Linked DNA regions of Rhinolophus ferrumequinum. The protein of the gene in region 1 interacts with the protein of each later gene in a biochemical or structural test. Links are inferred from orthologs where the notes say so. Each region holds a gene or a part of one and is shown on either strand. Other genes may lie near its edges. The genes, in order: LIMK2 and ROCK1.

Evidence for each region.
Region 2: of the proteins of LIMK2 (region 1) and ROCK1, one has a biochemical effect on the other in vitro, tested with the Homo sapiens proteins (2 studies listed by BioGRID). The link is inferred for Rhinolophus ferrumequinum from reciprocal best matches to the Homo sapiens genes LIMK2 and ROCK1.

What each region holds. Positions count from the first base shown.
Region 1 is NC_046308.1:20,215,948-20,219,859, forward strand, and holds the start of LIMK2 (LIM domain kinase 2), read left to right. Parts: upstream 1-1,063; 5' UTR 1,064-1,216; coding exon 1,217-1,232; intron 1,233-3,912. UniProt on the Homo sapiens protein: Serine/threonine-protein kinase that plays an essential role in the regulation of actin filament dynamics. Acts downstream of several Rho family GTPase signal transduction pathways.
Region 2 is NC_046302.1:17,042,312-17,046,223, forward strand, and holds the start of ROCK1 (rho-associated protein kinase 1), read right to left. Parts: upstream 3,048-3,912; 5' UTR 2,295-3,047; coding exon 2,202-2,294; intron 1-2,201. UniProt on the Homo sapiens protein: Protein kinase which is a key regulator of the actin cytoskeleton and cell polarity.

The DNA.
Region 1 (3,912 bases):
TTATTTCAGTGCTGGGACCAGAGGCAGCTGGGTTGACCTTTGTCCTTGGTGGAGGCGTCATGATCCATTTCCTTGGGCCCCATCCCTGTCCCTTCCTGGTCATTTGGACACTTTTCCCATGACCTAAATCTGATCTAAGGAAATGAGTTCCCAAAGATCCAGCATTAGAGAATCAGATGGGAGGGACCTCAGGGACCAGATGATGTGGTCAACCCTTCATCACATGGAGGACCCCAATTCCCTGCCAAGCCCATGGGGGGGAAATGGTTCTCAGGGCCCCTCAGCCAGCTAGCAGCTTCCAGAAACCAGTGTGCTGTCCTAACTCCTCATCCAGTGCTCCCTCTATAAAGAGGAGCCCACAGGGCAAATCCAGTCCACAAGTGTGTTTCCTTTGGCCTACATGGCATTGTTAGACTTTTTACATGTTCCCAACATTTTTAAAAGTGGGAAATTTCACCTAATATCTAATTTGGGGCTTGTTTTCAAAAACCGGAAGATCTGATGTGCTGAGTTCATTTATATACCTACTTGGCCTAGCTAAGGAACTGCCATGGAATGGTGGCTGCACCACCTCCATGCCATCTTTGACTTAGAGATTACCTACTGAGTGTCATCTTAATGGCGCAGAGAAGTTGCATCTCTGAACTGGAAGCTTCTAAGAAAAGTCCACCCTCAACCCCCACCCATCCCCCCCAAAGCTATTTTGTGGGGTAGACCTTGTTTTTCCATATTCATATTCTTGATTCCAAACATTCAACTTCAAAGAGCTTTAGACTGGGAGTCAGGAGACCTTTCCATCCCAGCTCAGCTCCTAATGAGCTTTGCTATTTTGAGAAAATCGAACTTGTCCTCTCTGGCCCTCAGCTGTCCCCATCTGTAAAATGGGTCCTCTGTGCTGAGGCCTCCGGCCTGCGCAGAATCATCCTTACCAGGTCTGGCACCCACGGATGCAGAGCTCGCACTAGGGGGCGCCAGGGCCACCGCAAAGCCCAAGCGAGGGGCGGGTCCGGGTCCCCGGGGCGGGCCGTCGGCAGGGTGGGGCGTCGGCGGGCGGGCCCTGGTGCCAGGTGCGGTTTGGTCCTACCCGGGTCCCGTAGGCGGCGCATCCCGCTGGTGCCCGGGGCTGAGGTTCTCCAGCGCCCGAGGCGACGGCGGGAGCTGAGAGAAACTGCTGCGGTCCCCGCCTTTTCTTCCCCATTTCCGCGCCCCCGGGACCATGGCTGCGCAAGCCGGTAAGGAGGGGCCGCGCTATCTTGTCCCGCCGTTACCTCGGAAGCCGGGGCCCTGAAGGGAGCCGGCGGCCTCGGGGGCGTTCGGGCTGAGTGAACCCCCATGGGTCCCGGGTCCTTGGGAGGAGAATTTGGGGAGTGAGCACCGCGGAGCCTCGGAGGTTGTGGGGCTCCGGAAATTGGGGAGCCGACGTTAGAGACTCCAAGGAGCATGCGGGGGGGGGGGGCAGCTTCCCGCGAGTTGAGGTCCCCGGGAGGAAGGGATGCTGGCTCTGCCGGGCGAGGGGGGGGCAGCTTTTTTTGTGGACCTGGCGGCGACCTGGCAGGTTCCCAAATTAAAACCCTTTCTAAGGAGCGCATTTGAGAGCTTGCTTCCCAGCATGTCATCAGCTCGTCTCAAACTCGCATAAAAATTCTCAAAAAAAAGAAAAAGAAAAACCTTTCCAAGGAAGTTGAGGGGTGTGGGTTCAGGTGAAGTTTGGGTGTTTTGGAGTATCGGGATTACGGGATCCTCAGCGTTCGAGATAATTGTGAGGGGATGGAGAGTTACCCCGGCTTCTGAATTTGCGGTGAAAAATGGAGGAGAGTATCACTTCCTGACAGGATCCAAGATGTCTCGCAGATATCTTGGTGCCTGCGGTCCCCTGGGTCTTGGGGCTCTTTGCAGGAAATAGGTGAATGTGGGCTCTTCTTGGGGAAGGTAGGCCCCTTGGGATTATGGGCCCTCCCATGGGAGCTGGGTCCTCCCTTGTCCTCTGTCAGACAGGAGAGGAATGTGACCAAACACCTCCTGGAAGAGTGTTCCAGGGGCGCAAGGGTAGCTTCGGGGTTAGCTTAGCTGGACCTGCGGTCCTCTCCCAGTCACCTCCCACACCACCCTGCAGCTTCCTGCCCTCCTCCGCTGTCTCCCAGCAACAAGGACTTTTTGTTGCCTGTGTTTCCCAGCCACCTGTGTGAGTGGCCCAGCCTCTAGGTGACCAGGGTCAGCGTCCAGAAGCTTTCTACAGGTGGCAGGAGGGAACAGTGGAGGAGGGAGGCTGTCCTGGATATGTGCCCCCACTTCCTGGCTTTCAGCCTTTAGACAGTCACTTCCTCCATCCTGAATACAAGGACCAGGCCACGAGTGGGTCACTTCCTCACCATGGGAGTGTGGGATTTTCTCCTTATTCTTGGAGGGCTAGGGGTAGAACTGTATCCTGTTCCTTCCTTTTATTTTTTTAGCTTCCAGAATTCTTCAGCTGAAATGATTTCTGATGACTTTCTAACCTCTGTGTAACGTAGGTTCCCTGTCTTGAATCTCGATCCTCAGAAACTTGTAAAAGATCTTAAGAGTGCAGGAGTGTGGATTAGGTTTTCTCTGAGTGAACCAAAGCCTGGCTAGAGGCATCAAGCCTCTAGGTGCATTAGTTGATGCATTCTTCCATATGAATATTTGTTGGATACTTCTGCGCCATGTATTTAGCCAAGCACTGAGGAATATAGTGATGAACAAAACAGACAGTGCCATTTGCCTTTGTGGTGCTTATAGTCCTAGAGATGGACGGTAGGTAATTGAGGTAACAAATGAGATAAATGCTGTAATAATTAAACAATTGAAGTAAGTGTTATAAGAGTGCCCTAGGGGTGAGGACAGTGAATAGGGAATACTTTCCTTTAAAAAGCATACTTTTTATGCTGACCCCTAAGGCTAAGTAGAAATTAGCCCAGCAAAGAAAGGGCAAAGAACATTCCAGGTTGAGGGGAGACCCTGAGGTAGGAAGCACGTAGTACCTTTGAAGAGCTGAGAGAAAGCCAGTATGGGGAGGAGGCTAAGGCTCAGAAATCACTTGTTCAAGTTTCCATAGCCAAATAAATGGCAGTGGTCAGAGTTCATATTTTCTAACTTCAAGTTCAGTGCTTCATCCTCTCTGTATCACAAACACCAGAATGAGGTTGCCTTTGGAATCAGAGAAGAAAGTGGGACTTAAACTTTTACTTGTTCTGACCAAACTGTTCCAAGACAACTCCGATTCCTGTGTAACAGGAGAATCAACAACAAAGAAATCAAATATTTACTGAGTGCCTGTGATCTCTAAGACATTGGGTTGAGACAGGTTTTACCTCTTTTAACAGATTCTAGAGCCAGGAGACACTTGAGGTAATGTAACTCTCCTCGTTTTACATAAGAAGAAACTGAGGCCCAGGGAGGAAAATGAATTTGTGCAGGATCCTTCAACTAGTGGTAGAGCCAGGATTAACCTAGGACTTCTCCAGCGCTCTTTCCTTTCTTTCCTAAGGTTTTTAAAAACTTTTTTGAATTAAAATTTATTGAGGTGACGGTGGTCAACAAAACTACATAGGTTTCAAGTGTACAATTCTATAATACGTCATCTATATATTGCATTATGTGTTCACCACCCAGAGTCAGTGCTTCCATCACCATAGACAGAGGGTGCCAAAAAAATGTATACATATTTTAAGAAAGTAAAGAACTGTTAAGATTGTAATACTCAATATACACCGATAACAAAAGATGAATACAGGTCACATTTGACTTCTGCAATTACAAGAGGTGCTCAAAGTAGTTACCATCAGCGTCCAGACACTTCTGATGACGGCGAACTGCTGCTTGACTTGTTGCTGTGCGAGGCCTCAGGATCTTCCCTTGTGCCCGTCACACACGGTACCATGCATCTCAGACTTA
Region 2 (3,912 bases), on another chromosome or scaffold:
ACTCTCAATTTTTAGAATCATCTAAGTCTCTCTCTTTGGTTCCCCCTTTTCCTCCCCAACCCTGCCAATCAGGTTCCATCAATTCCTCCTCCCCCATTCTATACCCCAATTTTGGGCTTCAATCATTTCTGGACTATTAATTTTTTTAAAACTCCCCAATCTCACCTCATCTCTCCTCTCTTTCCACATAACCCAACCTTCACATAGCCACCAGATTCATCTTCTCATTCATCCTGGCACAGTCTTGTTTACAAATATTTTATAGACACAACACACTGAAGAAAATCTAAATTCATTAGCCTAACTATTAAATCCTCCACACTCTAACCCCAATTTATCCTTCCAGCTTTACCTTCTGTTCCCCTAAACATGTCATAGCCAGTCATGTCTCCACCCTCTACGTATTCATGCTATCCTCCACTCTCCCTCTAAATAATCTCTCTCTAAATCCTATCCATCATAAAGCATACCCTGGCTCAACTCAGTGATTGCTTTTCAATATCCAAAAACATATTTATCCATAACAACTATTTGAAATTTATCACATATTTTCTCAATCTGTAAAGTGTTTTGCCTCGTTTCTGTGTATGTACATGTGAGATTAGGACTTGTCTTCCTAAATAGATTAGACTTTCAAGGAAAGAGTCCATGACTTACATTTCCTTGGATCCTTCACACTTCAATAAATCTGTGAGGTTCCCACCACATGAAGCTATGGCAAGAGGCTAGGAGACAGCTTTTAAAAAAAAGACTATACCCTTCCTGTAATGCTGCTTCATGGAATAAGGAGATCAAAAGGCAAAGTAAAATCAAAGATACTATATGGGAATTAGATAAATACTAAAAGAAGAATTAAACTTCTTAGAAGTTATAGAAAACCTTACTAGAAAGATGTGTTCTAACTCCTTCCACTTCTCTCATTCAATAAAATGTTTTAAATTGTATTAAGCATCAACCCTCTTTTCTGTTTTTCAATCTGAAGAGCACCCACAATGTGGGGTACACATTTCAAACATACGATTCACCAGACTCATTTCATAGTCAAGGATGTTTACAGTAATTTTGAAAGCTTTGGGGGGAAAAATTTTCTTGTAAAACCATACACATTTAAAATATATAGCGGTATGCAGACTAAAATAAAATGCATGTTAATTTTAAACTACATGATTTTCCTGATTCAAGAGATTTTAAATGGCATTAATTTCTCTGAATGGCATAACAGTACTTTCTTCACTTAATCTTAATTCCAAATATTGTGTACATCTAACATTAATTCTGAGGAGGCTGTAAATTACTATCCATACACATTTTCCCTGCAACTTTAGAGATTATGTGGTTTTTGTCTGGACTAAAATAGAATTCTTATATAACTTTCAGTTGATCTGTAAAGTAAAAGGAGAAACTCGCTTACAGTTTGCAACTATTGGTATTGGAGGAAACTGATAAAACTTAAAAACTCCAGTCTGTCTATGCTAGCAAATCACTGATGAATTTTTAAAATAGAATTTTGTCCTTTCATATCACAAAATCTTCTTTAGAATGTTTTAAAAGTGACAATGTTAAGCACACCACTACCAAAAAAGGCAAATAAAATATCTGCGCAGTACTTTTGTAAACCAACAGTATTGTAAAAGACGTTAATATTGTGATGACCTATTATCAGTTTCCCTGGGATTTTACACTTTATAGTCCAGCAAAAAGTTCCTTCAAACTCAGTTCACCTGTGACATTTTGGCTCAAAAATCACTTCCTCAATATCGATTCTCTGTTGTCACTTCCAAGTCTAAAAACTAAACCCTTAGGAGCTAAATCGCTGTAAATGAAAAGTAGTCTTTCCGATAATACTGTCAAACCAATCACAAAGATTAATATTACTAAAACCTCCATTCAACAAACTATATATATGTAGTAATAACTCTGACGTGGTAACTTTTTATATGATGCCTGCAATAGAGGTTTGTAAGTATCTTTTGTGTAATGATGAACGAGAGTGGTTAGTACAGTCAGTCCAATTATAAACAGGGCCACGGCATGAGATTTCAGTAGTTCTCCAAGATTCTTCGGGGAAAAACAACAGATTTTGGTGTTGTCCAAGATTATGCACGCCTGAAACTTTGTTTTGCAGATGACTAGACTGAAAGCAAGAGGAAGGCAAATACGTACAGAAGCACAGACAAGCAAAAGAGAACTGCGCTACTTACTAGCAAACAATCCGAATTCACTTCCGATTTGGGATCCCGCAGCAGGTTGTCGATTTTTTCAAACCGAGTCTCAAAACTGTCCCCAGTCGACATGTTGCCGCTACAGTGACAATATCCTCGTACCAGCACCAGCAGCGGAAAGCAATTTCAACCAACTTCCTCCCGCGGTGGGTTAGCGGCCACGGGGCGGAGGAGCCGGAACCTCAGGGTCACCAGGTGCGCCCGGTTCCCCCTCTTCCCCCTCACTGAGGGGATCTCCGCTCTCCAAACCCCGGGCCGGGGACAACTGCGACCCACAGCCGCTCGTACGCCCAAAGTCGCATCCCACCCGGCAGCCCCTCACGACAGCCGACAGCGCCGTTGCCACCAGCCTCGTCGCTCCGGAGAGGTGCTTCAGCCTAGCGGGCCCCAGCCGCCTTCGCCATGGAGGATTCCCGATCCCGAGATGGGCAGGAGCGGGGAGAGAAAGAGAAGCAGGGTGGAGACTCCTCCGGGCAGCAGGGGAGGGAGAAGAGGAAAGGCGAAATCGAAGGGCGGGTGCGGAGCTGTGCCAGCTGCCGCAGCCGCCGCTAGGGCCACGGGCCGGGCCCGCTCCGCTCTGAAGCGCTGTAGGCGGTCTATCCCCGCATCCCTGGCTCTGCTTGGCCCGGGCCGACGCACCGATTCGTCCCGACCAAGACCTGGTCCCCGCGGAATAGTCTCACTTTCCCATTTTGTCCGGTCGCTGCTGGGGCGTCTGCCGCGGTGTCCGGCGGGGCAGGGCGAGGTCGGTGCCCGATGGAGACTTAGGGAAAGGCTGGAGAGCGAGCAGTGAGGAAGACGAGTCGGGTCCCGGCGACTGCTGATGGGGGAGCTTCTGGGACGCGCTGCGGCCCCGGCTGCGGAAAGGGCGAGTGGCGACGGCGAATGCCTGGGGGGGTGGGGCGAGGGGGGCCGTGAGGGACTAATATGTCCGCCTTCCTGTTCAAACAAACGGAGACCGCCGGCACGGACTGCGCATGCGGGGCGCGGACGTTCGGAAGGGGAACCGGACTGGCCCCGCGCGCGCGCGCGCGCGCGCACATACGCCGGCGCCTCCGCAGGGCGGGGCGGAGCGGGGCGGAGTGGGATGGAGGGCGGGGCGCGCCCTTGGCCTAGCAGACCGACTGGGAAGGCTGGCAGCGGGGAGGAGCCGACAGGGTGCGGCAGGCGGCACAGCCCTTGCCTTGGCAGGCAGGCTTTGGAGGAACCACACAGGGCTCCAGAGCTGCCGTGGAGGTCCGGGCGGGGGCGGGGGCTCTCGCTGCCTCTGTTCGCGTCCTAGCAGCTGCCCGAGCTCTGCTGCTTCTGGGCTGCAGCCGTCTGGAGAATTCTGACAAGAAAGAAAGGGTGCTTGCTGTTATTTTGGAGACAGGTTTTTTTTGTTTTTGTTTTTGTTTTTTAGGCAGGACGCTGTTTTGCTTGCAAGCACCAGTATTTTAGCATCAACGGGGTTTGGTGTACTTCGTCGTCGGTCCTCCATGAACCTCACAACGTCTATGATTCCTGGGAAAATTACAAAGCAATGCAGTACTCAGCCCTCCTAAACCGATCGTGTGTGTCAGAGGAGCATTAAAATAATCACTCCGGAAGATATAGTCAATAGAAGCCAAGCTCAATTTAGTTTAAAAGAAAATCTCATAGAAAAAAATCATTATTTTTAAGCTATTCATACTAGTTCTACACCATTAAC